2 linked regions of the Kluyveromyces lactis genome follow. The protein of the gene in region 1 purifies or fractionates together with the protein of each later gene. This does not show direct contact. Links are inferred from orthologs where the notes say so. Each region holds a gene or a part of one and is shown on either strand. Other genes may lie near its edges.

Region 1 (15,387 bases):
AAAAAAAACACATTACGAATACATATCAAGTATCGGACGAGAGGTCAGATTAAAAAGCTATCATTACACTGCTATCAATGGATATCTGGATAGCGGAACAGTAAGGAAGAACGGCTAATCGGTGTTTACTCCTCATCTCATATCTCGCTCGCAAACAGGTAAAATCTCCTTTAATCAGGATGAGTAGCTGAATATGCTCCAGAAATACTAGGAACAATTAAACTCATCTCATCAGAAAAACGCCCCTACAACAACCAAAACAAGTCGTAGTCAGTCATATGTATTCTTCTTACACGCCATTATTATTTGATCAGAACATAGAAAAAATAAAAATTCCTGATTATTACAAGAGATACAAAGTACTTATCAAATGTCACTATGTCAAGTCCCAGTAGCTGGATTCCCGCCCCTACAATTACACCGTGAAGTCAATCAAAACAGAAAAAGCGACCTTCAAAGCCATACAAAAACCTTCAGGTTTTTTTGCGCCAAACACCCACTGATAACTAGTATTTCGTTCTCTATATCTTTAATCTCATCTCATCGCATTAGCAATCCCGCCAACTGGGTTTCTCAAGTGGACAATCTCCCAACCAACAAAGAAAGCAGAGCCTTCTTTCAAAGGGCCAACTCGAGGGGCATCATTTTTCAAACTTGTAAACAATGACGGGTGCAAACGTTTCTAGGAAATAAGGTGAAATAATCCCGGCCTCGAGAATGACAGGACGGGAACTGTTAGTTTCTTTTTGTTTTGGTGAGAGTTTTTTTCTTTTTTGATTTTATTTGACCTCGCGCGCGGAATCTTCTGTGTGAGCAAAAAAGAGAGATATTCCGAATGTATCTGTTGTGGACGGTTGAGTACGGGATTTTCCTACTGCTTTTTTTTGGAGCCGCGCGCACTGTGCGGAGGCTGAACGAGTTCAGTGGGACGAGGAAACAGTCACGTGTATGTAAGATGCCATAGCACCCATACCTTTTTCCCGTTTTTTAATCTTTCCGCAAACCCCTGTTGTGGTGTGTGGGCGTCCTGGTCAGCGGGAAACCAATTCCGGACGAAACTCGGCGGATCTTGTTGTCAGGTGAAAAGACTGGGAGGACATGAGGAAGTAAGGGCGGACGAGAGAAGCTGCGGGTTACCCGCACATACATTTGTACCCACTGATAAGGATTGACTATCGTAATCTATCTATCGGTCGTTATCGAGAAGTACTCACTGTACATCGTCCCTGTTTTAGTCCCGCATCGTATCATTTCCCAATCTTTTTGGTTTGACCACGGAGTTTTAGAGTGTGTATAGGACGTCAACTAAGACGGATATCAAGACCCCCTTTGCTATGTTCCGTTTCCGTCTCTGTGTCTTTTGCAGCAGTGGCAGGATAGCTCTGCGAATAACACTGCCGCTTTGACAGCGAAGTAGCTCGACAAGGTTTAGGACGTTACCCTTTAGTGATAAATGGTTAAATCGTAAGTTTTTAAAAAGAAAGGTATTGCAAATACTGTATTGATACAAAGGGTAGAAGTTTGAGTATGATGTGAACTAGTTTAGTTTTCGAATCTTCTTAGGAGCTGTCGACAAGTGTTTTTCAGATGCTCACAAGCCCGTTAAAGAACTGAATGCTCGACAAATTAAAGTTGCCTTCGAGAAAAAAAGACATTGGTTGCGCGTTGCATCAAATATCGAAGTCACGTGCTCTTGTTGACCTTATCTCTGCAGGATGACTCTTCACTAAAAAACGGGCTTCATGAATTTGAAATCAATATATATATATAGTATATGTAAGTATGATTCTGGTCAGATTAAAACCCCAAATGAGAACAATTGGGCTTGTAGTGAAGCGTAAACAGTATACGGAGCATCTTCGCCAAATCAAATTTATTCATTGAAATGAACACAGTTCCTTTCGGACATGAGTTCAAAGCAAAATATTTCACTTACCTGGATTCAGAAGTGACTCTACTCAACCATGGTTCATTTGGTACTACACCTACGATGGTATTAGATGCAGCCAAGAAGAGTCTCGAAGAACATGAGAAGTACCCTTGCAGAGATTACTTCTTGACTTTTATCGAAGAATATAAGCGTCAATTGCAATTAGTCGCGAAGTACCTTGATTTGGAATATAAAAACTGTGCCTTTGTGACCAACGCCACTACAGGTGTTAACACTGTATTGAGGTCAATTCCATTCAATTTCAGCAAAGATAAAATTTTGTTCCATTCCACCACCTATGGGGCTTGTGCCAACACTGTGAAATTTTTGCACGATTACTTCGGATTACAGTACGATGTTATCGATATCAACTACCCATGCGGCAATGATGTGATTGTGCAAGATTTCGAAAAACGTTTGCAAACTAAAGAATATAAGGTGTGCCTCTTTGATATGATTACTTCTCAACCTGGCGCGACATTACCTTATAAAGAACTAATCCAATTGTGTCGTAAATATGGGACTTGGTCTCTGGTCGATGGTGCACATGCTGCAGGTCAAGTTGATTTTGCATTTGTTAATGAATTGAAACCGGACTTTCTCACGACTAACCTACACAAATGGCTTTCTTGCCCTAAATCTGTCGCGTTGTTATATGTTGATCCAAAACATCATGTTATGATTCAGACCATCCCCATATCTCATAACTATACAGCTCCTGCATGCCAATATGTTGAGGGTGACGATGGACATAATTCTAACATCCTTGTTAACAAATTTGCCTTTATCGGCACCGTTTCGTACTCGTCCTATTTTGCTGTGGAGGAAGCATTGAAATTCCGTAAGGACATATGCGGCGGTGAAGAAAAGATTCGAGAATATCAATGGGATTTGCAAGAAGCTGCTATTCCAAAGATTTTGGAGGTTTTTGGCCAAGGATCTGTTCTACTTGAAAACTCGACTAATTCTTTACGTTCACCCGGATTATTCTGTATAGAATTACCGATTAAATCGGAATGTCAACATCTCATTGAAAAGATGAGTACTGATAGAATTTATTTCCTAAACTTTAAGAGTAAATGTGATAAGATCATGCTCGCAGAGTATAAATGTTATGCGCCATTCCAAATTAACAACAGTCACTTGTTTATTAGATTTTCTGTTCAGGTTTTCAACGAACCTAGTGACTATGAAAAAGGTGCTACCATTATCAAAGACATCATTTACGGAGTTTTGGAGGAAGAGGCAAATAATACCAAACGCGATGAAGTGAACAGTCGCTTAGATTCGTTGTTAATTTGAGATTGCTTTTATGTAAAATTTGACTAACATTGATAATTTATGCATCTTCTATGTCATCGCTTTCCTTCATAGATTTTATATTTTAAATTGACATTGGATTTTATAATCTTGATTTGACAACAATGAAAAGGAAAAAAGTAAATTCAATATCATCTCAATTTATAGACATGATAGATAATCTCAATACTACCAATATCGATTGTCATTCCAAACACTTTATTGCATTAAAGAGATCTTCATTACAGTATCTTTATGCCATATTCTTGTTCACTTCTGATTTTTGAAGAGTTTTAAACACAATTGCTAGGAAAAGATAAACCCTTTTATTGAAAGCTTGCAAAAGACCTCAAGAATCCCTTCTCCCACCACAACCAAGCATAACACTCGAATAGTATGACATCAACAGCTCGACTCTCTAAAGACGTCCTTATACGAAAGCTGCAACATGGCATGTCCGATTTCACCAATTTCGAAGAGACAATAGGAGTGCTTCAACTCTTCGAGGTTGATCCTCTCATACTCGAGAAGGCTTTGCCTTCATTAATTAATGAATTGCTTTCGACATATTTTACTACCAACACTGATAATCGGCTCAAGATTGCACGGCTCTTTTACGAGTATTCAAAGATATTCAAAAACAAAAGGATACGGGTACAGATTCCCATCAAGATTTATGATCTGTCGAAAGTTTTAGCGCTATTGAAGTCTTCTCAAGATTGGCATTCTCAGTATTTACTAATTACATGGCTCGCTATGCTCGTAATCTCTCCTTTCAAATTTGATAATGATACTGAAATCCTTTTGATTGTATCGAAGTTCAATCATATGGCTCTTATGAGACCCTTAATTTCTAACATTAAGGCTGAGCTTTGGTCAAAAAACTACGCATTGATTGAACTACCTGAAAAAATTTCACAAGTAGACCCCATAGATCTCAGCTACATGTTAAAAACTTTGAAGCACAAAACAACATATCCCTTCAGCATTGAACAATTGATAGAGTTTACGCAATATATCACATCTCTCACTTCATTTGATAAAGAAATTGATGCTCTGTATACGTTGCAATTACTTCCGCATTTTGTTACTGTTCTAGCAAACAGAGATGAGACCTACTCTTGTATTTATGATATTTTGTTCTGGATGACCTCCACAATCAATCTTTCTTTCACTGACCTACGATTCAAATTGGCTAAATCTGTTTCGAAAATAGTCCTCTTTGTCTCTAATATTGATGAAGAAAGCAGTGAAATGATAATAACTGACTGTGTTAATGATACTGAAGCATTGTTAAAAACAAATTCAAACGAATCGATGGACTCAGACAGACTTCATACATTTTTACTGATTCAAGCAGAATTTTGCAGGAGCCGACTTTTAACGATATCTCATATCAGAAAATTCACGCAGAGTATACTTCCAGTAATTAGCAAATTTCAACAGAAGAGAATGATGAGCACGCAAGGACATCAAATAAGAGATGCAGCTAATTTTTTTTGCTGGAGTGCATTCAGAAGTTATACGAATATTGAGCTTCAGTCTCTCAAAAATATGTTCCTCAACCTATTATTTACAGCAAACTTTGACCATTCACCATTGATAAGAAAATCTGCTATGGCAGCTCTTCAAGAATGTCTAGGAAGGCAAGGAAACGTCCTACTAGATAATGTGACGGTTCTTCGACTTGCAGAGATGCACTTTGGTCAGCTGTCGAATGCACTAACTCTTTTTGAGTTGTTCAATGGAAGATATGAAAGTTATATTGATGAAATGGTACAGTGGCTAGTTCTTTATAGCGTTGGACAGAACTACGATTATCAATTCGTTGAAAAGGCCACTTCCCTACTTTCAGAGATGACATCCCAAATCAATGAAAAATCCCTTTCTAATATGGTTTCAAAGTATATCAATGAAATATCTGTGAAGGGATTGAAATATCAGGACCCTGACATATGTGCAAGAAGTGTTTATCTACAATGCAAAATTGACACTGAAAGTCTCCTGAAAAGTTCAGACGTTCTTGCAATTTTGCACCAACAGAAAATCCCCAAAGTTTGGAATGACCAGATTTCCTTTCAGGCATTAGCTGAGTTGGGAGGTATTTGTTCATTAGTTTTGGATGGTTCTTTACTCTCAAAACAGCAGGTAGAACGGATTTTTCTAATTGCAAGACATGCTCAGATGAATCATTCAAATTATGACGATATTTCGAAACTATTGAATCAACTAGTATCTTTTATTTCCGCAGATAGCGAACCTTTTGATGATTCATCCACAGAATGCTCATTTTGGGCTATATTCTATCAGTTATTCAGACTTCAACAACCTCTCATCTGCTGCGCTGCACCGTTTTTGTCACAGAACCAATTTATTTCCTTGTTTTATGATTCGGTTTCCAAAATGTCTTGTGAGTATAAGGGAAAAATGATTGATTCTCTTTCTCAGGCTATCTCTAGATATTCTCCTGATGAACATCTTCAGATATTCCTTCAAGATGTTGTATTATTCTTGGACGACTATACCACTACAGACAAAGGAGATGTTGGCCGCTTGACTAGGCTTTCCACAGTGAACTTGATTCTAAAACATAGCATGTTATTTAGAAAGTTGACTTGTCTCCCATTCATTGAAAACTCATTATTAAGATTAACGGGAGAGCCCTCTACGGAAATCAGACTAAAATGCTTCGAAGCGTTATGTACTCTTCGACATGTTTCCCTTGAGAACCCTCCTTGCAATTTTAATGCAATCCGACTTTATAATCTACACTATAGGGGGAACAACGAATTCTGGAAAGGGTACTTTTTTTCGGCTGGGGCAATTCATTCGACCGATAGACTAATCTCTTCCGCAATCGACGATCTTCTTACTTATTACCAAGGCCTTGAATTGGCTGACCGATTATTGCAATTGAATGAGTTTGCTCGGATTGTTCCATCCGCCAAAGAATTCGAGGAGCTGAAAGCATCCAAAATGCGTAACAATATACTGGGAACCATACCGAGAGAGATCATAAAGTCAACTATCACATTTCTTAACTGCTGGTGTCGGATGCTAGAATCTGGAATAACTCTCGAAGAAGATTTTAACTATAGCGGTTTTTTTGCCCGTGTGTACAATCTTCAACTTGCTGCAAGGTCAGTATCTGTCACCAGTTATGCTTTCAGGCTATTAACCCTTCTTGTCTGCCATCAGATACTTAATGTCAGGAAAAACTCAGCACAATTTGCGAATACCTTCATCAAAATACTATTAAAACAATTAGCCGCAGCCAAACAAAGAACCGAATTTTCCAGTATTCAAAACGTTGCTTTGGAATCTCTAACTCATATCTACATATGTGCTGACAGGAATAAAAAAATTGAACTTATACAAGAAAACTCCACAACTCCGCAGCAGTTCTCTGCTCTAAAAAACACTGATCTTTTAATCTAGAAGATTACTTCCGGACAGGTGCAGCATTATTGGAATCTGTACACGTTTCTTCGATAATACGAAGAAGATTCTCTAAACGAACTCTATCATTTTTATCCTGTCTGATATTATAGACGTTTCTGGCAGAAGACCCGTTCTTGGCCAGGTACCTCATTTCAAGTTCCTCAATACGCTCAACAGAGCATTCAGGGACAAAATTTTCTACCATCGCTGTTCGCATAACTTCATGAGAAAGTTCAGCATTAAGCCCATTTTCCTCAAAGAATTTTATAAGCGTAGACTGAATATTAATAACGGAATGCCCTAATTTATCTGCAGCAGTAGATAAAAACATGCTAATGTTTGTCGGAAAACAAAATTCGTAAGTGGAACCATCACTTTTAAGAAAACTTTTACAATGCTGCTTCAAAAAATGGTAGTAATAGTAGTAAAATTCTTCGTGTGTATGACCTTTAAGGGAATTGTTCAAAAGCACAGAGTAGTCGAATGGCATTAATTCCACAGAATCGGCAATCTTTTTCTGTAAGAAGTTGAAGAGCAATAAACTGGCAGTTTTATGCGTCGGTTTATTGCTCGACATTGCAGGAAAAAATGCATGGAAGTTCGAATAACGAGCCTTATTAGTTGCATTCGCTACGAAAAGGAGCACCATCTCCCGGTCAGAAAAAGCGCTTTCCAAAAATTCAATAAAACATTGAAAACCCTGACCACTGGCATGTTTTATAAATAACCCAAAAATGTCACATTTCATCTTTTGATTGAAATTCGGTTTTACCACACTTTTGAAAAATGAGTAATAATCCCTGCCCTGTTGAAGAGGTGGTATTTTGGAGATTAAAAAGTCCAAATTCATCTCATACTGTGAAAGGTCAACATTAGAATTGTTTAATATAGCCAATACCAATTCCATATTGGAATCTTCGACATCGTTAAGGGAGAGGGTGTTATGCAACGGTGCATAAGAGTCAGGATATAATTCCAAAAGAAGTTTGTTAGTTTGTTTTAGCATATTTCGATCAATAAATGCTCTGAAATCTGTAATGGTGTCTGGTCTTAATTTAAACCCCATATCCGAGTACTTTTTTAGTCCAAGATTAGCTGTAGTTTCATCCCCAGATATGAGAAACCGCTCAACAAAGCGCTCGAGTTCATATTGAACAATGAACAAAGGTACCAATTCAGTGTTTTGGATGTGGTTCCTGTAATAAGCTATCAGTTTGGTACGTTGGTCGGTTTCTTGATAAAATCTTAGCATTGTCATATGTTTTACGGTATGCCACTGAACTGCAGCCATGTTTGGAAAACTTGTCAGAACTATTTCCAAGGCCGCTTTAATCATCAATAGTGATCTGCCCTTAGTAATCATCGTTAGAGTCCGGAGTAGAAAGGATATGGAAGGAGATATGGTATTAATTTTAGTACAGTATTTTTGTAACAAATGAAGGTTGTATTTTGAAATAGCAGTGAGTTCTTGATTATTTAGACGATTACTCGTCATGGACATCATCATCTTATTGAAAACAAAGTAGAGCTCTTCCGGAATACCTGCTTCGTCTTTATACAACGTCTCGCCTGGGGGTTTGATCCATTCAATTTTATTTGTTTTTAGGAGGCTCAACATATGGAAAGCCTGTTTAAATTTACGCTCTCTAAGTAGCACATCCATATACGAAGAAACAGCTGGTAACCATAGTATGTCCTTTCGAGCACCGCCATTCTTTCCCGAGTCTTTATACCATGTAGAGTTCAAAAAAGCTCTTGTGGAATCATTAAGTAGCTTACTGGACCCACGATCTCGCAATAACTCTTCATCCAAGGTTTCTCTTAACAAAGAGAGATATGATTGATCGTATGAAGAAGAAGCAACTTTTTGTTTAGAGATCGCACTGCTTATTGATTTTACCTTATTCATGACGCAAATGCACAAACCTCACACAACAAATTTGGTAAACAGTAATGTTTTGCTGGCTGAGGGCTTACAATTGTGTAAAAAATAAGTCGAATGTTAGTGAAGATGGCAGTGAAAAGAAACAAAGAGCGGCTCAGTGCAATACAAAAAGCATAACTGGAAAGTGCCTTAATTCTTTGGATGTCGTCTTAAGTTAATTTTTTTTGTATTGCCAACTGTATTTGATATATGAGAGAAAAACAAAAAAAAATGAAAGCGATGAGCATAGAAAATATTGGACGGATAAATCAAGAAACAAAACACTATGACACGAAAAGAGCGTGTAACAAAGAGAGTATCTTCACCAATGGCACTTTATGTATATATAAACAAACAGATTCAAAGCTGACCAACTTTTTAATAGCAGCGTCACATTAAATATTGTTTGAAAAAAGTTTCAATCGTTTGTTAGGGTTTTTTTCGGGGGAAAGTTTGACACTTTTCGGTAGTTTATGTTTTACAACAGCAAAGGTATCAATGTTCTCATCAATTTTTATGCAATCAGAGCTTAACTGTAAAACTTTCTTTTTGTATATTCTTTCCAATTGACTAGTATGTTTTTCCACCCAAACCTGATGTAAAGCTTCTTCCACATCACATCTATTAAAAGTAGAAACTTGTAGACATTTCTTAACAAAACTCTTGGCACTATCTGTGATAGCAATCCATTGTCTAGCAGTAAAATTTAGTTTTCCAGTTCTAACATTTTTGATGATGCTTGCTTCAGATCCATCACCATAAAAAGGGGAAATCCCAGTGAGCATGATGTGTGTTATGACGCCGAGGGACCAAATATCGCACTTGGAATCATAGCCGTTGTTGTCTGGATCTAAGGTAGCAGTTCTACTGAACGATCGATAAATATTACGATCGGCTTTGAATCCCACTTCTGGTGCACAATATTCCGGAGTACCGACCACAGTATGCATTCTTTCTTTTGTATTTTGAGATAATTCTTTTGCAATACCAAAATCTGCAAGAACAACCTTAGTACATGGTTCTGGGGTATGCAAGAGGATATTGTCCAACTTCAAATCCCTGTGAACGATGCCGTTTGAATGTAAGAACTTCAAAGCTAAGAGAATCTGATATATGATTATCAACGATTCTGTTTCAGAAATCGGAACTAAGCAATCGCCTTTTGCCAAATAAGAGAAGAGATCACCTCCCGATATAAGATCCTGAAAAATGTATACATTGCCAAGGGCATCAACACAAGATTGATGAATACGAATAATATTTGGATGATTCAATTTTTCAAGAATGGTGGCTTCTTTCACCATCCTAGTCTTTGCAGTGTTGATAACTTTTACAGCATATGAAACAGTCTTTTTAGCAACTTGTCTTTTCATATTGTGGTCCACTTTTTCTGCTACCAAGACATGTCCAAAAGTTCCTGAGCCCACTATACGCGGCACAATTTTCCATCGATCCCATTCCGATTTAATTCTCAACCCAGTCATAAACTGTGACATCGTTTCGCTTTTCACTGCAGAGAACTTAAATTTTGCCCCGTTTGGTAATTGAATCACGTCTTGGTTGGATAACAAGTATGGGACGTCTCTGGATAAGACCTGCTCATTGACCATCGTCCCATTCAATGACATATCCTTTATGTAGCAAAGTGGAACGCTCTCGGGATCAAATCTGATGCCCCATAGCACACAGTGAATGTTCGAAACAGAAGGATGTTCAACAGAGTAAATACACTCCTCAGTGTTCCGTCCAAGTTTCAATACCTTATTAATTTCAATTTGGAAATGATTTACGATGAACTGCGGCGAGGAGTCCAGCTCGCTCTCCAAATCGACTTCCAATACTCCCAAAACTTTGTCCATTTTTTTAGCCTCCGTCTATCCAATATAGTGGGAACTATTCCAACAGAGGGAGAAGTGGCTAATGAGGCTCCTCTTAAGGATCTGAGACTGCCATGCTGTATGTTTATATAGATGCCAGATGTGCGCGGCTAAAATGAAACGACAAAAAAGCGAATATTAAGAAAACAAACAACCAATTCATTACCCGGCAAGCAAAGAAGAATGGCCCACGTGAAACAAAATTGCAATCCGATGACATAATCACAATATGCACCACGTGACTCTAAGATCCTCTTGAGCACAATTCAAAAGAAACACATACCGCAAGTAACCCCACTTCCCATATCGTTCAACGTCCTCTCCAACCTCTATCCTCTACATGCAAGCACAGGCGCTCAAACACCACCATGTTGCTCGCTAACAACTTCTAACCCTCTCATAACCCTTCATTAATTGTCACTGGGAACGTTCCAGTCAGCAATGTTTGCCTGAACTTCCCCTCTGTATTTCGAAAAAGTACTCACGAACTCTACGTACTCCATTCATCACGGCCCTCGAAGAAGCTTTTTTCCCTGCAAAACAGTAAAGAAAGAAAAAGAAAAAGCCATGAAAAACTATTATGGGAATTACTCACAGTCAAGTTCTGGCGATACTTTTTTCTGGCGATGCTGAAATATTGAAAAACTGAAAAATTCTGAATCGAGTGAAAAATTTCGGCAAAAAGACGTGATGTGATGAGCCATGTCTTATATATATATATATGCACCAGAACAGTCTTTGTCTGGTGAGATTTTAGGACACGGAGTTTGTGCAGTTGATTCATAGGATAGCTATTTAGGGGAGACATTAAGCTACTGTTCCAAAGGTGATACGACCAGGCAACCATACCCCATATTGAGTATGATATTCAGGAACACCGTTGTGCGTTTAGCACAGGCTGGGAAAAAAGCTATTCCTCCAGTGAAACTAGCGTACAAGAATATGCTAAAAGATCCATCGACGAAATATAGACCATACCCACAGATCAACTTGGAAAATAGACAATGGCCTTCGAAGACCATCACCAAGGCTCCTAGGTGGCTTTCTACCGATCTAAGAGACGGGAATCAATCTTTACCAGATCCTATGTCTGTCGAGCAGAAGAAGGAATATTTCCATAAGTTGATTGAGATTGGTTTCAAAGAAATTGAGGTCTCATTCCCATCTGCGTCGCAAACAGATTTCGACTTCACAAGATACGCTGTTGAAAACGCCCCAGAAGATGTTTCCATTCAATGTCTTGTTCAATCGAGAGAACATTTGATTAGAAGAACAGTTGAAGCTTTGCATGGTGCTAAGAAAGCCACCATCCATACGTATTTGGCCACCTCCGACATGTTCCGTGACATTGTGTTCAACATGTCCCAAGAAGAAGCTATTGCTAAAGCTGTGGAAGCCACCAAGTTAGTTAGGAAATTGACCAAGGATGATCCTTCGCAAAGTGCTACACAATGGACTTACCAGTTCTCTCCAGAATGTTTCAGTGATACACCTGTAGAATTTGCTGTTGAGATCTGTGAAGCCGTAAAGGCTGCTTGGGAACCAACTGAGGAAAACCCAATCATTTTCAACCTACCTGCTACCGTCGAAGTCGCTACTCCAAACATTTACGCTGATCAAATTGAATACTTTTCAACTCACATATCTGAACGTGAAAAGGTCTGTATCTCCACACATGCGCACAACGACCGTGGCTGTGGTGTTGCTGCTTCTGAACTAGGTATTTTGGCTGGTGCTGACCGTGTCGAAGGTTGTTTATTCGGTAATGGTGAACGTACTGGTAACGTTGACTTGGTTACTGTCGCATTGAACATGTACACTCAAGGTGTTTCTCCAGAATTAGACTTATCTGATATTAACTCAGTCATTGAAGTAGTGGAAAGATGTAACAAGATTGCAGTTTCACCAAGAGCCCCATATGGTGGTGACTTGGTCGTTTGTGCTTTCAGTGGTTCTCATCAAGATGCTATCAAAAAGGGTTTCAATCTTCAAGAAAAGAGACGTAGTCAAGGTGATACTCTATGGAAAATTCCATACTTGCCATTGGATCCAAAGGATATCGGTAGAGACTACGAAGCTGTCATCCGTGTCAACTCTCAATCTGGTAAGGGGGGTGCCGCTTGGGTTGTCTTGAGATCTTTGGGCCTAGATTTGCCAAGAAACTTGCAAATTGAATTTTCCACTCAAGTGCAAGAAAAGGCTGATGCTCTAGGTAAGGAACTAAAGGCAAACGAAATTGTCAGCACCTTCAAGTCGTTATACAACCTCGATGGAAGCGCCTCCAACATTTCTTTGTTAGAATACAATGTTTCTAAAGTACAGGGTGATCAGAAGAGTTTTGTTGGTCAAGTCCAGATCGACAACGAAGTCGTCGGCATTGAAGGTCTCGGAAACGGTCCAATTTCCTCTCTAATCGATGCGTTGTCAAATTTGCTCGGTGTTAAACTTGGTGTTGCCAACTACACCGAACATTCCTTAGGATCTGGTTCTTCAACAAAGGCTGCTTCTTACGTGCATATTGCTTACAGAAGAGAAATTGACAACGAAAAGGCCTACCAATGGGGTATTGGTATGTCTGAAGATGTTGGAGAGGCTTCTGCCAAAGCCATCCTTTCTGCTGTTAATAACTTGATCAAAAAGGGCGAACTAACAATACCAGCTCATCGTGACTCAGCCTCAGCATCTGCATAGTCAGCGGAGTTTATACTTTTCAAAAGTTCCACAAACTTGCACTGTATCTACCGAGGTAAAATACTACTTATTTATTCGTTGTATTTGCGACTTCGTTTACCATCATTTTGTATTTCTCTTCTTGACAATTCATTTATCAGTGTTACACCGAAGACTTTGAATTGTCTTTATATTATATAATTTATATTCAATTAATATCAGGAATATCACCACACTCACCGTATATAACATTGACATCATGGTATATATTCAAGGTTGGAAAAATTGATGTGGCTCTTCATTGCGTACATTCAACATGCCTTTCAACTGATCTTCTCATAGTAAAAGGGGTCGAGGTAATAGTAAAGAAAAGTCAAAAAAAAAAAGCTGATCATAATAGAAATATTGATTTGATTAAAGATCACAAGACGAAATGATAGAGACAATAAAACTGCAAGTAGAAACACCAGATTTACTCTTGTATCACTAACAGGACCACCTACATTGCACTTTGGGTTGAAATGCAGATTTTAGTACAGCAAGGTCCCGAGAGAGTAATAGCACTCGCTTCTGAAAGCTTTGCATTGTTGTTGAAATATGTCCCACCGAAGGATAAGACACATCCGGTGTGTACCATTGAGATGGTTCCCAAGAGCTATTTGAAGAAGCAGAAATTTGAAAAATTGAGCAAGCTTGAAATCCATGGCTTCATTGGGTTAATTGAGTTGGAAGGAAGTATTTTCATAGGTACAATTACTGGAAAATCTGAGGTTGCCAGCCCAATCCCGGGAGAAACAGTCAACAAAATCTATGGAGTTGATTTCTTCTGTCTAGATAGTAATCGATGGGATTTCGTTGAGTTCGATTCTAACGGATTTCCAATCATACCAGAAGAAGAATATGCAAGCTCTTCCAATCAACAGCAACAGCACCCGTGCCATGATTTGAAGAAATTACTATCGAACGGATCATTCTATTATAGTTCCGATTTCGATCTAACATCTTTACTACAGTCTAGAGGTCTCAACCAGCATTCGTTATCCTTCGATAATTACCAAGAAGAGTACATGTGGAATTCCTTTTTAATGCAAGAAATCATCACATTTAGAAACCATTTGGACGATAAAGCCAAGCAAATAATGGATGATGAAGGATTCTTAACGACAGTGATCAGAGGTTTTGCTGAAACTTTCCCATCATATATCGGCAGAATGCCCGTCAATTTAACTATGATATCAAAACAATCTTGGAAAAGAGCGGGAACAAGATTTAATGTTAGAGGTATTGATGACGAGGCAAATGTAGCAAACTTTTGTGAAACTGAATTTATTATGTATTCAGAGGAATACTGCTTTGCTGTGACAGAAATTAGAGGAAGTGTACCTGTTTTCTGGGAACAAGATACAGCTCTAATCAATCCAAAGGTTACAATTACCAGATCTGTCGAGGCAACGCAATCGACCTTCGATGAGCACTTTAAGAGATTAATACAAAAATACGGCCCTGTTCATGTAGTAAATTTATTATCAACGAAATCTTCCGAAATAGAACTAACGAGACGATACAGAGAGCATTTCGAGCGTTCAAAAAGCCTCAAATTAAACTCTGAAATTTTTTTAACTGAGTTTGACTTTCACAAAGAGACCAAAGAAGAAGGATTTGCTGCTGCATCAAAAATCATGCCTACATTAGAGCGCTCTATTCTGGAAAATGGTTATTTCTCATACGATGTTAAAGAGAAAAAACAATTGTCTGAGCAAAATGGTGTTTTCAGAACAAACTGTTTAGATTGCTTAGACAGAACCAATCTAATTCAGCAGTTTATTTCAAGATATACATTTATCTTGTTTTTAGAAGATTTCCAATTAATCAAACCAAAACTTCCATTAATCGAAGAATATGATTGGTATCAAAAACACAATAATATCTGGGCTGATCACGGTGATGCAGTTTCTCAAATTTATACAGGAACGAATGCATTAAAATCATCATTTTCAAGAAAAGGTAAAATGTCATTTGCTGGTGCTCTCTCTGATGCAACAAAGTCCGTCAGTAGAATGTACATCAATAACTTTATGGACAAAAATAAACAGATGAACATCGACGCATTGTTGGGCCGTCTACCACATCAGCATTCTGTCGAATTATTCGATCCGATCAATGACTACGTTAATGAAGAACTTAGAAAACAAGAAGCACAGTTTACTACCACTAGTAACATTAAGATCTTATGTGGCACATTCAAC
Region 2 (17,683 bases), on another chromosome or scaffold:
AACATTTTAAAACTGACAAGAATTTCAGATTAATGATTAAATATTAACATACAAATGCGAATATATATCAGGACATACAAATAGTTAATAAGGATCGTTAGTGGTTACTTTTGAGGTACCAATCTAGTTAAAGCTAAATCTGCAAATAGCCAATAACCCAGTGAAGTAAATAAGTTGTAAATTGAATTATTGTGAATTAGTTCGATTTTTCTTTCTGATTGGTATTTTATCTATACTTAATTAACATCTGTAAGCATAATATACCAATCGTCTCCTAATGTTGTTCAAAGCGAAAAAGTACTGGCGTCTCTTTTTGATATTTTTTGACAGAATTAGCCAAAAATATGAAATAAATTTAAAAAATATTTATTTTCGGAACTGTATTAAAAAACATTTATTTACTAAAATTCTAACTAAGCTTTAGAAAAATATAAAAGAAAAAAGTACTTTATAAAAGTAATATTACAAAAAATATATATATTCCTGAAATAACTAAAAAGTTTAAAACTAAAAAATAAAAAAAGATTTTAAGATGATTTTTATTAAAAGCATGCACGTGATATTTCCTAGATTTATTTGTTATATTTTTTTCGGTATTTGAAATTAGATATATTTGAGAATATTCAAGAAGGTTTTTTCCAGTTAAAGAGATTTTGGGATATTAGAATCAGCCAGCAGTTGTTATATTGATAGGTTAGCATTTGAATATTTAATTAAATTGTCACTTTTGCAGTTTACTAGTATTTAACATTTTGATGTAATTATTGAATGAATGTCGTTAATTACAAAAAATAGATGTTAAACTTTTAAAAAAAGGTTAAAACAATTACATCAGAAATTATGCATAGACCCTTTGTTCCTGTCGAAGAGAGAAGTTCGAGGAGATAAAGTCATTAGAAGGTGCATAATTCAATAAATACAAACAACCTGTGAATAGTCTCCCAATGTAACGAAGACAGATGTAAAAAAAAAACATGGGGGTCAAATAAAATGGCAAAACAAACAATAAAACTATTTACAGAAGGTTTAGTTTGGAATGAATAGAAATCATTGGGAGATATCGATTAGTGTTGAATAGCCACAATTAAAACAAACAATTATCTCAACTTTGGAATATACATTTTTTCCAAGATGAATAAGCGATGGATGGGAAGATATCATTTCTAATCTTTAGATGGAGTCACCGGAGTTTCTGCTTCTCCTAAAGGCTGGGTCTCTTCATTCTCCGTAGTACCTTCACTGCTGGAATTGCTGGACTTTTCTTCTGGGGTAGCGTTAGCATCAGAATCAGCATCCGCGTGGTTGAAATTTCCATTCTGTTGATTTCTTGGCCCTCTATAGTTACCATTGTGGTTATTACCTCTTCTACCGTTGTAGTTGCCTCTGAAATTGTTACCTCTGTAATTACCTCTGTAGTTGCCTCTTGGATAGCCACCCATTTTAAGACCAGAATTATGAGTAGGACGTGGCACATATGGGTATTGAGGATAGAATGTATTTTGAGGAGGAGGTGGAATAGGCATGCCGTTTGGTTTGTAATTTTGATAACCTGGTGCGGCGTATGGATAATACCATTGACGCATAACGTTTCCTTGCCAGCCCGGGTAAACCCATTCTTTTCTTGGGTAGTAATTTTTGTTGTTATTATATCCAGGAACGTTGGTTCTCTTTTTAGCCACATTGATGGTTTCTCCATGCAATTCAGAATCCTTCAATTCCAAAGCCTTAGGAATAGAATCCGAACTTTCGAACTCAATATAGGCGTAGCCTTTAGGAGCACCAGTCAGTTTATTGTAAAGAATGGTGACCCTAACAACCTCACCACAATCTTTGAAATGCTCTTCAAGTGTTTCAGCTGTGGCTTCGGTGGTAATATTACCGACAAAGATCGAGCGAGAGTCAAGTTCAATTTGTTTCTCTAATCTTTCTGCCCTCGATTGATGATGATGATCTTTTTTCCCGGAATTCGTTTTAACATTAGATTCGTCTTGTTCTCCATTTTCTGAAGCCTCTGAATCTTGGGATTCTTCTTGTGAGTTCGATTCTGGTATTGGTTCTGATTCCGACTTCTCTGCTTCGGTGTTGTCAAGATTTTCCAAACTCAAGTTTTTGATAGATTTCTGCACCGCTTCTACCTCCGATCCATTTGGAATACCATTAGATTCAACAACCTGTTGCAATTCTGCCTCAGTCATAGTCATTACGGATCAGCCCTATAATACAAAATTTCTTTCCACTACTACGAAACTGAGTTACTATCTTTGACCTTAGAATTCAGTTATCCAAGCTTCAAACAGAAAAGAAAGACGTACTCCGAAACCTTTGAGAATTGTGATACCCTTCAATGGAAAAAGCCTAATGAGCCAAAATGTTCCAAAAGAATACTTTTGCTTCCACTTCTTTAACAAATCACTGTTGAAAAAAGAAGTTGCAGGTTATTCACTAAGTTGTGGAAAAGAAAACTCTCTTTATTTCAGTATTTCAGTGTTCTAACCTATAAACAGATTTTCTTCCCCATACTAAGCGGTAGTATAACAAAAAAAACCAAAAACTAGGAAAAAAAAAAGACCATTCGCTCTACTTGAGTTTAACCTACAAATTTTTTTTTTTTTTAGATTCATATAGATTTTCATGAGCTCTGATTTGATTAGGGACGAAGGTTTAAGGAAAAAGGACTTTCTCGGCTTCAACGGCCTAAAGAAAAACAATACAATAGAAACTGAATAAAAAAAAAAAAAAAAAAAAATAAAAAAAAATAAAATTCAAAAATGGGACATTCTGCATGTCCCAGCTTTGAAAAATAATTTAATTTTGAAAACAAGTTACAAACATAGCAGAAAATTTGAAAGGATTCTTGTTAGTATCCTCTAGCTTTTCATTTCTTTTGTTTCCTCTGAAAAATTTCCTTAGCTTCGAAATTCGAATATACAGAACTTTTCACCGATGAGATGAGATGAGATGAGATGATGAAAGGTTGACCGTGGGTGCAGTGTGCCATTAAGATAAGTACTTCTATCATCGTGTAACCTGAACGGTGTGTATACATAGACCAAGAGAAAAACTAAACTAAATTAAATTAAACCAAACATATCAAGCATGGCTTCCGTTAGAAAGAGAAAGATGGCCAAGTCCTCGGTGAAGAAAGTGTCAAGAAGGAATAAGGATAAGCAAAAGCAAGTGAATATCAAAGGGAACCCAATCATAGCTGAGAATTGGGACTATTCTTTAACTCTGGCACAGAACTACAAGAAACTTGGTCTTAAAGTGAAAATGGGTAAATTTGCTGGTGGTGAAGAAGCGGATCTAAGTAAAGTTATCAAGAAAGACGTGTACGAGCATTCGGCTTTCTCTGATGATGAATCAGAGGACGAAAAAGACAGTCAAGGAGAAGAGGATGAAGATGATGTTAACCTGGAAGAACTAAATAGCGATGGGGAATACGATGAATCTAAGATTCCAGAAGGAGAAGCTAGAATTAAACGGGACGACGACGGTAATATTGTGAAGGTTTACTATGGTAAGAGGAAAGCCATTGATATAGACATGGATGTGGAAGAGCTAAGACGTGAAAATGAAAAGAATGAAGTCAAGACAGAGGTTGTGAAGAAACTAGAGGCTTATGCTTCCAGACCAGTAGCGAAAAAGGAACGTGGTCTAAGTCAACGGGAAGACCAATGGCTAGAACAATTATATAAGAAGCATGGTGATAACTATAAAAAGATGTTCTTCGATAAGAAATTGAATGTATATCAACAAACAGAGAATGTCCTAAGGAGAAAAATACTCAAATGGAAGGAATTGCATAACATCGAGTAGATGGAAAACAACCGCTATTGTTTGTATATTATTTAGCACTTTAAACATGTTATCTCTTAGAGATAACAATGTCCTTCACTCAATGGAATTTTCATCAATTAATGGTACAATACTGTCAAAATTGAAAACTACGAAATCTGTTTATAAAAGTTATTTGTATATATCATACTGTTTCTTTGATTGTGGTTCTCAAAACATTTATTTAATTTGGTTCGACAAATGCTCTGTATGTGGTAAAGTCGGTGTCGTCTGCAATGAAGTCGACTTCAGTTCCAGGTGCGATGAAGAAGACAAAACCCGGTTCCGCTTTCAATTTCAAATCACCTGTCTTGATGAAACCGTTACCCTTGGTGGTGATCACAATGGAAGGACCGTGTAAACCCTCAAAGTGTCTCGTACCGACACCATCCTGGAAGGTGGTGTACAATACTGCAAACTCCTCAATTGGTGGATTAAATAGAACAGATTTACCTTGGCCAGAAGATCTTTCAAAGTTTTCTGGAGACATCTTTTGTTTTTCGACGGAATCGTAAGTGTATGTCAACATTTCGACCAAGTTTTTAACGTCCTTGAACTTTGGTGTGAAACCTGCTCTAACGACGTTATCAGAAGCAGCCATACATTCGATGATGTCACCAGAAATGTACGCGTGTGGGTCCTTCGCTCTCAAGAAGATTGCTTCACCTGCTTTCAAGTTACAATGGTTTAGAAGTAACCCACCACAGAACAAACCAACATCATCTGGGAACTGTTCATTCAAGTCTATTAAGAGTTGTGGCAATGTGTCCTTGTTGAAATCAGCAGGAGATTCATGAGCTCTCTTGATCAACGCACGTGCGTTTTCTACCACCACTTTATCAGAAGCGTTCATAACTTTACTGAATACTTGTTGCAAGAGTTTCTTGTTCTTGGCATCATCAGCAGAATCCTTCACTGCCTCTGGGTTAATATTGTTGATAAAAGTTTCGGAAACTTCATCCCCAACGATATTTCTCAATTCTGGGATACGTTGCAACTCATCTGCAATCTCTTCCAATGGCTTGAATCCACAGAAACCTTCAAAATCGGTGACTGCCAACGCCATTTCCGGTTTGTGGTTATCATCAGGATAATTGGCAGGATCGTTGAAATGTAAGACTTTAGCTAAAGCCTTATCTGGATGGGCTTGGATAGATAACACTTTTTTAATGGATAAAACTTTAAACAAGAATGGTAATTCCTTCATAGAACCAAACTTGTCGACGTTGCCTTGACCCAACATTCCAACTGGATCAGCTTCAATCAAATCACGCAACGATTCTTTAGTATCATGATTATAAGATGGAACCTTATGATGAGTACCCATCCATAGTTCGGCATATGGTTTCTGTTCATCAATTTTTACTGATGGGTCTGAATGAGCAGCAAACTGAGCAACTGCAGAGGATGAACCGATCTTACCCCAATCGTACTGCTGGAAGCCAGCATCTAACCTGAAAAGCTGTGGCATGGTAACTTGTTTTGATATTGATATTAAGGTTCAGAGTTAAACTTGATAGAATTAAACCCTGATTTCTGGTTGATAAATAAAAGGTCAAAAGTAAGAACAGCAAAAGCGGTCTCGTTATTCTTGGCAGTTGTTGTTGTTGTTGGCACTTGTTCATTTCGACCAAAATGATACCGATTTTTGACCAGCTAAAAATAAAAATGAAATTTTTGGCGTTTTCATCACACTGAAAAGTAAGTAGTACTTGGAGAAACGTGAACATCAGGTTAGGTTATCTTTTAGTAAACACAAACGGCATGTTACAATATCAAGTCGTCGATTATACGTTGGTCAGCAGTGGGTGTTATTACTGGCTCTGCATTGTACATGGATTTATACCGGGCATCTGCTATCTGTTCACTTGTTTTCTAAAAGTGGACTACAGTTGACACATTTTCCGAAACAGTTTTGAACAATGGACTGGATAGAAACTGGCCAAGGTACTAGGATCTCGAAGCAGGCTAATGTCTTGGGTCCCGATAAGATTGTCCTTGCTGGCCAATGTGTGATTTCTCCCAAATGTACTCTAGAAGGCAACGTGTTATTGATGGAAAATTACGATAAATCGGCATCGGCATCAGCGAAGAGGAAGAATCACAACAGGTATACGATATCTGTAGGTAGGTACTGTATTCTAGAGCCAGGAGTCAGGGTGAAGCCTCCTGTGGTCGGGTACAGGAAAAGTGAGGATGATTTGAATTCAGGTAAAGTGGCAATTCATTCTGACCTTTTAATGAATTCATACGTATGGATCGGTCAAGATTGTAAAGTATACTGCAAGAAATTAGGGTCTCGGGTCGTACTAGGTGCGAATACACACTTGAATCGATGTTGTGAGATAGGAGACGTGGTGATAATCGATGATAATCTTGTAGTGCCAGAACGATATAAGATCCCATCGTATTCTCGAGTCTCTAGACATCCGGACGTTGCAACTTCGATTGTCGTTAAACCGTTACCTCCGATGTTTGCACCGGTCATTGAAAACTGGTGCCAGAAACGGTACCTAGGAGTTCAATTGAAAGAGCATTACTTGCCACAGATGACAATGCCCGGTGAACAAGATCTATGACACCGGAATCCAAGAATTGGTACCGGTTGTGCTCTTTCTGTGTCTTTTCTTTGTATTTTCCAATTCGATAACGCCGTTTTAATGAAGAACATTATTAATTCATTCTATACATGAAAAGAAGTGCCAACGGACAAAAAGTTATAAAAGGAAAGACACTTACTGAGACCAAGTGTGGCAAAAGTCGGAGAAAATTCGCATAGACACATATACCCCCTTGATAAGTTACACGAACACATCGCACATTCCACTTGTTTGGTGTTAACTGAAAAATTATTAAGCTGAGATAAATAAAGATGAACGCTTTAGTGTTAGGAGCAACCGGATTATGCGGTAGTTCGTTTCTAAAATATGCTAGTCAAAACAGTGGGTTTGACAAAGTATATGCTATTACTAGAAGAGATCTCCCTTCTGAGTTGAAGACCGATTCTGTAGTGTCTGTTGTTAGTTCTGAAACGAACAAATGGGGTGAATTGATCCCCGAAGATGCAACAGTACTTTTGACTGGTCTTGCTACCACAAGAGCAGCTGCAGGTGGGTTTGAAAACCAGTATAAGATAGACCATGATATGAATGTTGAATTAGCGAAGGTTGCTAAGGCTAAAGGTTACAAAGTCTGCGTTTTGGTTTCATCCTTGGGTGCTAATGAGAACAGTTTCTTACCATACCTTAAATTGAAGGGTGAGACCGAAAGGGATATTATCGCTCTTGACTTCGATAAGACTATCATATTAAGACCCGGTGGATTGTTAGGTGAAAGAAACGGTACTTTTAAAGGGTTTGGCGATAAGTACTTCTCAAAGATCTCTTCATGTTTCTATAGAAGCAAGTTGCAAAGTGCTTTAGGTTATCCCATCTACGGTGACGAAGTTGGAAAAGTTGGTGTCAAGTTAGCTTTGGATTCATCAAGAACTGAGAAGGTCCAAATTGTGAGTTCACCAGAACTTTTGAAATTAGCTGAGGAAAAATGATCCTTTTGAATGTATTTCTCTCCCCTCTTTGTAGTTCACTTAATTATTTACCTACTTTCGATTTCTCTCATATATTTACACATTCCCATATATCTAGTATATGAATCTATCTAGTATGTCATCTGTTCTACTTGATCCTCATTCTGCTATGGTTTTTTGCAGTCCGTCTTTTTGTTTCCGATACTTCACTCGTTTCCTCCTTTGTTAAGTCCATTGGATCCTTTAGTTTACAACTTAATAACTTAATGCACAAAATTTTCTGTATCGATGAACAAAACAACGACGACAACAGAGAGTGACTGGCCTCAGTAAGTCCAGATTGTCGTGGTTGTAGGTGCAATGATTATCACAGGATCTGATGAGCAATATAAGCAGTATGGGATTGTGATTGATGCGGGTTCATCAGGATCAAGAATTCATATTTATCAATGGGATTCACCACAACACGTTTTGAATTCCAAAGGTCAAGAGGAAGCTGATAAAGATGGTTCTCAAATAGCACTACTGCAGTCTGTCCCTCAAATTCGTCAGGATAAAAACTGGACCCATAAGATTTCTCCTGGACTATCAAGTTTCAGGGACAAACCAAATAAGGCTTATTCGAAGCACATAAAACAGCTTTTAGAATTCGCCAAGGACGTCATTCCAGCAAATAAAGTTTCCGAGACACCAGTTTTCATTCAGGCTACCGCCGGGATGAGATTACTTCCTCAGAGAAAACAAGAGTTGATTTTGCAAGAACTGTGTAAATCGATTAGAAGTGATACGAACTTCCTATTGAAGGATTGCTCATCACAAATTCAGATCATTGATGGGGAAACAGAGGGTTTATATGGGTGGTTAAGTCTCAATTATCTGTTGGGGAACTTTGACAACTTTGATCCTAAATATGCACAACACCCTTCGTCAGGTTTTATGGATATGGGAGGTGCTTCAACGCAACTAGCGTTCATGCCGAGTGACCCGGAAGAAATTGCAAGGCATAAAAAGTATATGCACACCATATATTTGAAGAATGTCAATGGTGACACCCAAGAATGGGATGTATTCGTGAGTACATGGTTGGGGTTTGGAGCCAATAGGGCAAGGTCTAGGTATTTGGCTCAACTAATTAATTCGTTACCTGAAAACGCAAATGAGGAAGATGATGACGACTACAAGACAAGATATATTAGCGATCCATGTTTACCGAAGGGAGCAAAAACCGAGTTTGAGTTCAAGGATAGAGATTTCGAAATCACAGGTGCTGGTGACTTTGTACATTGTATGAAGTCGATGTATCCGTTACTTTTGAACAATCTACCTTGCTTAGAAGAACCTTGTCTCTTCAATGGTGTACATGCACCAAGGATTAATTTTGAACAAGATAAGTTTGTGGGTATTTCAGAGTACTGGTATACAGCAAATGATGTGTTCAAGATGAGTGGGGAGTATAATTTCCATGAATTCTCGAAGAACGTCAAAGAATTCTGTGAATCTGATTGGAATACGTTGAAAGAGAACAACGCTAATGGAGTGTACAACAATATACCAGATGACTTCTTACTGGATAGTTGTTTCAAGGCGAACTGGATATTGAACGTCTTACATGAGGGCTTTGACCTTCCTAGGATGGATATAGACATTCCAGACGACTCAAAAAGCGACGATGATAGACATGTTCCATTCCAGAGTGTTGAAAAAATTAACAACCAAGACGTAACCTGGACGTTAGGTAGAATTTTAATGTACGCTTCGGGACTTGTCGTTGCCGGAGACGCAAGCGCCACTGTTGGTATAATGCCAAGTCCCATGGATGAAAAGAAAGACGGCAAGCAATTCATTCCGGGAGCCATCCTGTCCCTCCAACAGCCAGTCAATAACGCATCCTTCGGAGTATCATTGAAACAAACAATAATTCACATTTTCATAATTTCATTAGTGCTCGGTTCGATATATCTTATCATTAGCAAATTCAGATTCGCTAGACAATTCCCCAAACACAAGATATTTGATGGTATCAATGCAGTGAAAACAAGTTTCTGCAAACTTAAAACATATAGCAAACTGGCTCAAGAAGAAGACATGCTAGGAAAATTGGAAGAAGGTACCGTTAATCGGGGTAGATTTGGTCGTCAAGAAATGGAAAACAGCTCAAATTTCAGAAGTAGAAGTATGATGAATTTAGGCGATTCCCTTGATAGTAAAGATTCTTATCCACTGTCAGATAGGGATAGGAAAAACACTTCATTACCGAACCAAGGGATGAGACCAGTATTTTCAATGGCCGATTTCTCGAAGTTCAAGAACACGAATAAAGACTAAGATATGTACTTTCATAAGAATACAAAGTAATTAACATCCTTTAATCAATATACAAAAGATCTGCATTACTGAAAGAACGCCAACCATAACTATGCTTTAAACATTGGAAGACGAGAGTAAATCCATTAAAGTATTTTATTTTTTTTAAGTTTTTGGTTCTTTCGACGTGTACGTAGGTCCATATACTTTATCCTATAGACTTGAAACACAGTTTCGAAACAGAAATCTATTCAATTGCATAACTCGAGGTATAATAAATCATACACCAATTAAGTTTCTGAGAAAGAAAGTTATAAAGTTCAAATAATGTGTTAGATGCAATGAAAAAGATAGGGAAAGAATTTATGTATATTATAGTTGATCCGAGAATTTTATAGGATATTCAATTCAAATTTGGAAACTGGGTATTCTTCCCAACTAATGGTTTTCTTTTCTTGATTTTTTTTTAATGTTAGTATTAATATTCTTTTTTTTTTGGGTTTTTGTAATGGGTATTGTTAATAATCAATTAGCCTTCTCACTTTTGTCATTACTGACTCTAGGAAGGTTGTCCCATTTCACGACACCAGATTCTATCAGTTGTGGGTCGACCACTTTTTCTTTGTGTTCGTATAATGCTTTGTATCCACCTTTCACGGTACCTTCTGTGACTTGTAAAGTCTGAGAGATTCTTGTAGGACTGATATTCAATTTGAATAGTAGAGTTGCCATATAGATAGCTGCTGCTGCGATGGTGATAGGAGATCTACCAGCCAAGACATTGACATCCTTAGAGTGTTTCGCGATGTACTCTGCAGCATTAGCCACCTGCACTGAAAGGCCCAAATGAGAACAAAATCTAGGGATGAAAGTCTCTGCACTTGTCTGTCCTGTGGTGATATTTGAAGTATCAATATTGGCAAACCCTCTATCATTCTTTTCTCTTAGAATGTTCTTGATGATGGTAAACGTCTTCCCGATTTCCTTCTTCCGCACGTTAGTCAAGGATAAGATTTCCTTGAAAGATCTCCCGACCTCTGCTCTCCGACATCCGACAAGAATAACTGAAGCCATGATACTTTCCTGTGATTTCCCCTTCAAGACTCTCTCTTCGAAGCATAATTTATAAGCTTCTTTAGCACAATCTTTAACAATCTTGGGCAGTTCTGCAGCATCACACATCATAGTAATCTTCGCATATGCAGCTTGCAACTCGTTATCCTTCTTGTCAACGATAGATTTCGACTGAGCCCTATTCAAATCCCTAGTAACTCTAGCATCACTTCCCTGGGCCTGCCCGATACGTGTGGTTAAATGGTTTCCATCCAACAAAGGATTTGAAGCTTCACCAACACGACTTGGATCGTCTCCATTCTGATCGTCATTGCTAAAAGTACGCCATTCTGACCTGGTATCCACAATTCTATCCGATAAGACTAACCCACATAATGCACAGACGATATCACCTTCACTAAACCGTTCCACAACTTTCGGAGGATAAACTTTACATTCGGGACACGATATAACAATGTTCAAATTTGGCCCCCTCCTTCTAGATGAGACAGCTACATTTGCTGAAGCTGCTGCTGGCAATGACATAGTTTCTCTTTTCTCTTGCCTCGGTATATGACTCAGAACAGCCTAAAAAAATAGCTGGAAACTGAACGGTAAGAAGTCGAATGATGAGCCGCTAAGATAACTAAACTTAGGCGCTGCTTTTGTTATAAAAGAACAGAAGAAATACCGATTAACCAACTAGTAGACGGACAAGACTGTGTAAGTTGCAACTGGATAGCTCCTTATCATTTTAGTTTCTCAATTTCTAAGCAAAAATGCTGGAAACTCGACGGAAATATATATCACGTGATAAACGCCACAGAAACAACCGTGGCATGTCTCTTGTTTACGGTTGATGAAAATTTTCACGAGATCCGGGTAACAAGTAATAACTTCGCAGTTATTACTACACTGACTGGAAGTAGAGAGGATGAGAGATGTGGTAAAACAAGTTCCACCCTCGCAACTTCGTATCGTATATCACGTTATATCAGTTCTTATTACTGAGATGATTTTTGTTCCCTGCTAGTGTCAAAAAAAACTGCGCAACGGCTACTGGGCTGCCTTTATATGTACTGACAGTTTCACTGCCCTTGACGGTATTACTGTATATATAATGTTAAATATCTGCCTGGAAGTGCTCATAGATATACCAAATACGTCCCAAATATTATTGACACAAATTATGGCTTGCGAGTAGCATAAGATTGCCTCGTAATTGACGAGTATCCACTGTGTTTCCACTGTCGTCCGCCAGCAAAAAGAAATTCTTTTCTACTTTGAAATTTTTCAGCTCTTCGAAATATGTTAAAACCTGCGATGAGATGAGATGAGATGAGATGAGACTTGATATTTACAGAACACCTGTTCAAGTAGATGTTTCAGTACTGTTTTCCGTGATAAGTTCACCGGAACAGCTAAGATATCTATAATCCAGTGCAGTAAATATACCTTTTTCCATTAATCAAAAGAGATGGTGAGAGTAAGAAAGAGAACTTCCAAGAGAACTTCCACTCGTATGAAGGAGGGTATCAAGAAGAAGGCTGCTGCTCAACATAGGAAAGAGCGGAAACTTGCTAAGAAGGATGTGACATGGAAATCCAATAAGAGTAAGGATCCAGGTATTCCGGCCAATTTCCCGTACAAGAACAGGATCATCGAAGAGATTGAAGCGAAGAGAAGAACTGATTTGGAGGAGAAAGAACGTAGAAAGCAGGAAAGGTTAGAGGCTAAGAGAAGAACTCGTGAACTAGGTGAAGATGTTGGTGATGACGATGAATCTATGGATGAAGATGAAAACGACGGCAACAATGGTCTTTCTGCTTTGTTAGAATCCGCTCAGCAAGCTGCAAAGGAGTACAATGGGGAAGGTATCGATGATACAATGAATGGAGAGCAAGAGGATTTAGAGGTTGCTGAATACGACGTAGACTTTTACGCTGACGCAGATGATGATGATTCTGAATTAGAAAAGTCTAGAAAGGCTTACGATAAGATATTCAAGACTGTGGTGGATGCGTCCGATGTTATCCTTTACGTGCTAGATGCAAGAGATCCAGAAGGAACTAGATCGAGAAGAGTGGAACAGGCCGTGCTTCAATCCCAGGGTAAGAGACTAATTTTGATCTTGAACAAGATCGATTTAGTGCCACCATACGTGTTGCAACAATGGTTAACCTTTTTGAAATCCTCGTTCCCTACTATTCCATTGAGAGCTGCTCCTGGTGCCACTAACTCCACATCTTTCAACAGGACTTTGACTCAGGCTACAACTGCTTCAAGCTTGTTAGAAGCTTTGAAGACTTACTCCAATAATTCAAACTTGAAGAGATCCATCGTTGTTGGTGTCATCGGTTATCCAAACGTCGGTAAGTCGTCTGTCATTAACGCATTGACCTCTCGCCGTGGTGGTTCTTCTAAAGCATGTCCAGTGGGTAACCAAGCTGGTGTCACTACATCTATGAGAGAAGTCAAGGTAGATAACAAGCTAAAGATCTTGGATTCTCCAGGTATTTGTTTCCCAAGTGAAAATAAAAAGATGAGTAGAGTGGAACAAGAAGCAGAGTTGGCCTTGTTGAACGCTCTACCTCCAAAATTCATCATAGATCCTTACCCAGCTGTGCTCAAATTAGTGAAGAGACTTTCTAAATCTGAAGAAATGACTGAAAGTTTCAAGAAGTTGTACGAATTACCACCTATCCCAGCTGCCGATGCAGACTCTTTCACCAAACAATTCTTGATCCATATCGCCCGTAAGAGAGGTAGATTAGGTAAGGGCGGTGTTCCAAACTTGGCCAGCGCTGGTATATCCGTTCTTAACGATTGGAGAGATGGTAAGATCCTAGGATGGGTTCTACCCAATGCTTCTAAGGAATCTGCTGCAGAACATGCTGCTACATCTGGTGAAGCTAACCAACCAACTCTAGGTACTGGTGCTGTCGCAGCACCAGCTAAGGTGGAACAAACGACCATTGTTCAAGAATGGTCCAAGGAATTCGATTTGGATGGTCTTTTCGCGTCATTGGATAACGCCATTGAAGCTGAACAAGACAACTTAGGTAATTGAGAACACAGAAAACGAATTATTCTGCATCTCTATGAAATACGATCAAGGATCCTATTGCTTATTTTATTTCGCATCGTTAAAGCTATAGATTTAAAAGCTTATGTATTAGGATGTGAATTTGAACACCCGTTTCAGTCCACGCACCTAATAGACAATACACATTTGTACACTACTACATATAAATGATTTAATATCTTCTTCGGCAAGACGTTTTTGTCATCTCTTTTCTTTAGGTAACAAACCTTTAAATAATACTTTAAATGCCTACTAAAATCAAAATGTTTAAAAGAGTGAAGAAGAGAAATAATCCGTGAGTCTACCATACGAACTCCAGGCTACACTATGTGTACAGCGTGACTAAATCTAGGGCCAAATATGCAGATCAATGTCAATGATAGATTGAATATAGGAGGTGAGTTTTGCACAGTACGATACATCGGATCATTGCCAGAATGGCCTAATATCGTTGCATATGGTTTAGAGTGGGACAACAAGCAAAGAGGTAAACATGATGGAACGTTAAACGGAGTACGATACTTCAGAACATCCGATGGACAGAGCAGTGGCTCATTTGTGAAGGAGACTAAACTAGATACATCTCGGCAAGAGAGAACATCGTTTGAAGGTGCATTATTGATGAAATACGGTGATACTTCATCAATCGATATTACCTACAAATTTGGGTCGAAAGAGACTGAGTCATATGGATTTGAGCATTTGAATGAAATGAACTCTGATTTTGACAAGTTGGAAAGTATCACGCTATCAGAAAACAACATTTTCCGAGCTTTCAAGACAACCTGTTCGAGCATTCCGTTTAATAGTGCTCATTCTTCTCTGCGATACCTTGATTTATCCTTCAATCTGTTTTCTGACATAAATGAGGTGTACCGCATACTGCGACTATTTCCATCTGTCGAGACTGTTATATTGAGTGGGAACTGTTTCACGAAGTTAGAAGCGGATTCCAGTGAACAGTTTGAATTTTCCAATGTCAAAGAACTATCAATGGCATGTTGTAAGCTCCGAAATGGAGATATAGAGACAATAATAGAGGCTTTCCCTCAAATAAAGGCGCTAGACATTTCTTCAAACTTGCTATCAAAACTTCCAGATGTTTTAACCTCATTACAGGAAATCAACATATCTGATAACCTTTTCATTGGCTTCCCAAAAGTTCTTTCAAAAGAATCATCCTTAACTAGCATTGACATTTCAGAAAACAAAATATCAGACCTTAACGATCTCAACACCAACAGTCATATCATGACTCTTAGGATTGATAGAAATAGGATCACAAGTTGGGAGGAAATAGACAGTATAAATACGGTTTTCCCTAAATTAGAGACGCTTTGGATTAAGAAGAACCCGGTATGTTTTGAAGATACGCAAAAAGGTTTCTATAGTATCATCGCAAGATTGAAGTCTTTAAAATGTGTGGATGGAACTAGGATAAGTGAGGATATAAGAAATGAGGCAGAACTCTATTTCATATCGCTGGTTTTATCGTCTCAGATAAATTATGATACGCAAAGTGCTATGTGGAATCATTTGACACTGAAGCACAGCATAAACACAGAAAGTAGAACCACCGTCCAACAAACGAATTTCCTTTCAAAAGAACTGATTGAAATTCCAATAGTTTATGATTCTGAACCTATCAAGTTGAAACTATTGAAAAGCTTCAGTGTGCGTTATTTGAAGACCTTTCTGCGATATAAATTTAATCTACAAGGCGAAATTTCCCTGCAATACTCTGTCATGGACAACATCAAACACGATTTCACCAATGAATTCTCTCCCCTAGCAACCTATAATATAGAAGAGAGTACTATATACATCAAGTCCAAATAAGACCTTTATCAATTAAGTACATTAGAACCAATGAAAGAAAAATGGTATAAAAAAGATGACTATATCGATTATGTACTTTGAATAATGCTGATGACTACGTTAACAGTAAACGGGAAATGCCAAGTGAGCGTAAATGTGATAACAAATGCGCTTCAATCAGCAGAGAATGTCCAAAGAGGATCACCCAAATGATGAATCATTTCCACACCATGGCCCTTGTTAATTTCCTTAATTTCCTCAGTACTCATCAACAATTTCCCTACTGCCATAGCGGTTTCTTTATTCTCTGCGTTGATAACCACAATGGTATCCTTTTCGAATCCTGGAGCCTCAGGCAACTTAGCACCTGGAGATGTCAAACCAGGACACATGATGTTGGACCCTGCCAATACAAACTTAATGGCACCTCTATCAACTTGAACCGTTGGGAACGCCTCGGGGAATTTGTGTACAAATCTCAAAGAAGGAATTAATTCGTCAAAGTTTTGAAAGAAGAGCACTTCCCCATTGACCAAGTACAACTGAATCTTACCTTCACACTTATATAGTTCAATTTGAGCCTTCTTCGGAATGATTTCATCGATCACTTCTTCCAACTTGGGATACTGCGCGAGCAATTTTGCCTTCAAATTCCTCTGTATAGAAGATTTGACATTTGAACGAGTATGGATATCTTCTCTAGTGAATCTGAGGATGAAGAAAGAATAATCAATAAGTTAGTATTCGATTTGAGTTGAGTTTGTGTGATTTCAGCAATTATCATGCATGTCAATTCTTAGTTTATCTTTTAAACCAAACATACTTTCTGAACATCTTGGTACCGTTAATATATGTATATTTTACTGGAATATCGATACTTGGAGTGCCAACTGATAAATGAGTTAGGACAAGAACGAATTGAAACAACAACTAATGCTAGGATTGACCTATGAACCAAGTGAACTGACACCTAATAATTTGCCAAATCCTAGTTCGATGAGCCAAAACTTTTTTTCACCACGAAAAAAAGAGATTACCCGGGATTAGAATAGTACCAAGTTTCCTCTTTACTATGGTGAACAATATCTCTCTCTATAAACAAATATCTATACATTTGAAGGCGAGATGGATAAGGCATCATTCAGCAATTGGACTTAGCCTAATCGCCGGATGAATCCCTAATCAACTCGTATGAAGGAAAAGGATGCTTCTTGAAGAAGGAAAAAAAGGTAGGTTCCAAAAATTCCCTGCATAACACATGTGTAAAATGAAAGACACAATACGTTATGAGGAGGAGGTCATGGTTAAAAATAAATTTCAACCAGCAATAACACAATCTCGGACGAATCCTCACTGATATGCGTATTTCCCGTGCATAAGGATGGGGTTTTAAACATCAAAAAGATTTATATAAACATTAAATGTAGAATATGTTATTTCTGAAAGTGTTGATTAAAGGATCTGAAGTAACTGGCAACTTTTCAAATTTTTAAAGCTTTTTTTTCTCGAGAGATTTGTACTGATTGACGAGTGAATATAAATTATAAGTACAGACGATGTGTGTATATAAGGATTTCTCCTGTCCTTACTAATCGGATAGAAAGTCTGATAGACCGTCTTCATCTTCGAGAAGATCAGTCATGTTTTTGGCGTTTGTTATAGTTTCATTCGGAACAACAATTGAAGGCAACATTACTTCGAGTTCCATTCCTACGCTACGGTTGTAACCAATACTTCTTGCTAGGGCATTGGTTCTGTTCATTCCGATAATCTTTTCTCTTGTGTTCGTATGCATGTCTTGGCATGTATTCAGGATTTCTTCTATCTTGGGTACGTGGCGTATTTTTCTCGTCTTACTCTTCGCTAAGTCTGGCGCAATGCTCCAGTGCACAGTGTCCGGTACATATTTTTTTAGGAAATGTCTCTGTTCTTGCATGGTGAGCATTTGAGCTGAATCTGTAGCGCCGTATTGGGGGACCAACTCATAGCCGCTGTAGTACTCAATACTAGTACTAGGATCTTCGATTTGGTGCGCGAGTTTCAGTTTTTTCAGTACTGGTTCT

What was found.
Region 2: the proteins of CIN1 (region 1) and PAC2 purify together in Saccharomyces cerevisiae (affinity purification with mass spectrometry; 4 studies listed by BioGRID, with this or other methods). This does not show direct contact. The link is inferred for Kluyveromyces lactis from reciprocal best matches to the Saccharomyces cerevisiae genes CIN1 and PAC2.

Annotation. Positions count from the first base shown.
Region 1 is NC_006042.1:2,189,614-2,205,000, forward strand, and holds CIN1 (Cin1p), read left to right. Parts: upstream 1-3,625; coding exon 3,626-6,667; downstream 6,668-15,387. Other genes in the region: KLLA0_F23441g (uncharacterized protein), read left to right, coding at 1,886-3,232; KLLA0_F23485g (uncharacterized protein), read right to left, coding at 6,672-8,579; serine/threonine protein kinase MEK1, read right to left, coding at 8,990-10,453; KLLA0_F23529g (uncharacterized protein), read left to right, coding at 11,333-13,162; KLLA0_F23551g (uncharacterized protein), read left to right, coding at 13,663-15,387.
Region 2 is NC_006040.1:1,170,181-1,187,863, reverse strand, and holds PAC2 (Pac2p), read left to right. Parts: upstream 1-14,162; coding exon 14,163-15,641; downstream 15,642-17,683. Other genes in the region: SGN1 (Sgn1p), read right to left, coding at 1,164-2,201; NOP16 (Nop16p), read left to right, coding at 3,097-3,816; mannose-6-phosphate isomerase PMI40, read right to left, coding at 4,019-5,305; KLLA0_D13706g (dynactin subunit 5), read left to right, coding at 5,757-6,413; FMP52 (Fmp52p), read left to right, coding at 6,707-7,381; YND1 (apyrase), read left to right, coding at 7,721-9,685; SUA7 (transcription factor TFIIB), read right to left, coding at 10,190-11,263; RNA-binding GTPase NUG1, read left to right, coding at 12,195-13,787; TMA20 (translation machinery-associated protein 20), read right to left, coding at 15,794-16,328, 16,444-16,454; MPH1 (3'-5' DNA helicase), read right to left, coding at 17,209-17,683. UniProt on the Saccharomyces cerevisiae protein: Required for viability in the absence of the kinesin-related CIN8 mitotic motor. Seems to be involved in the assembly of alpha-tubulin.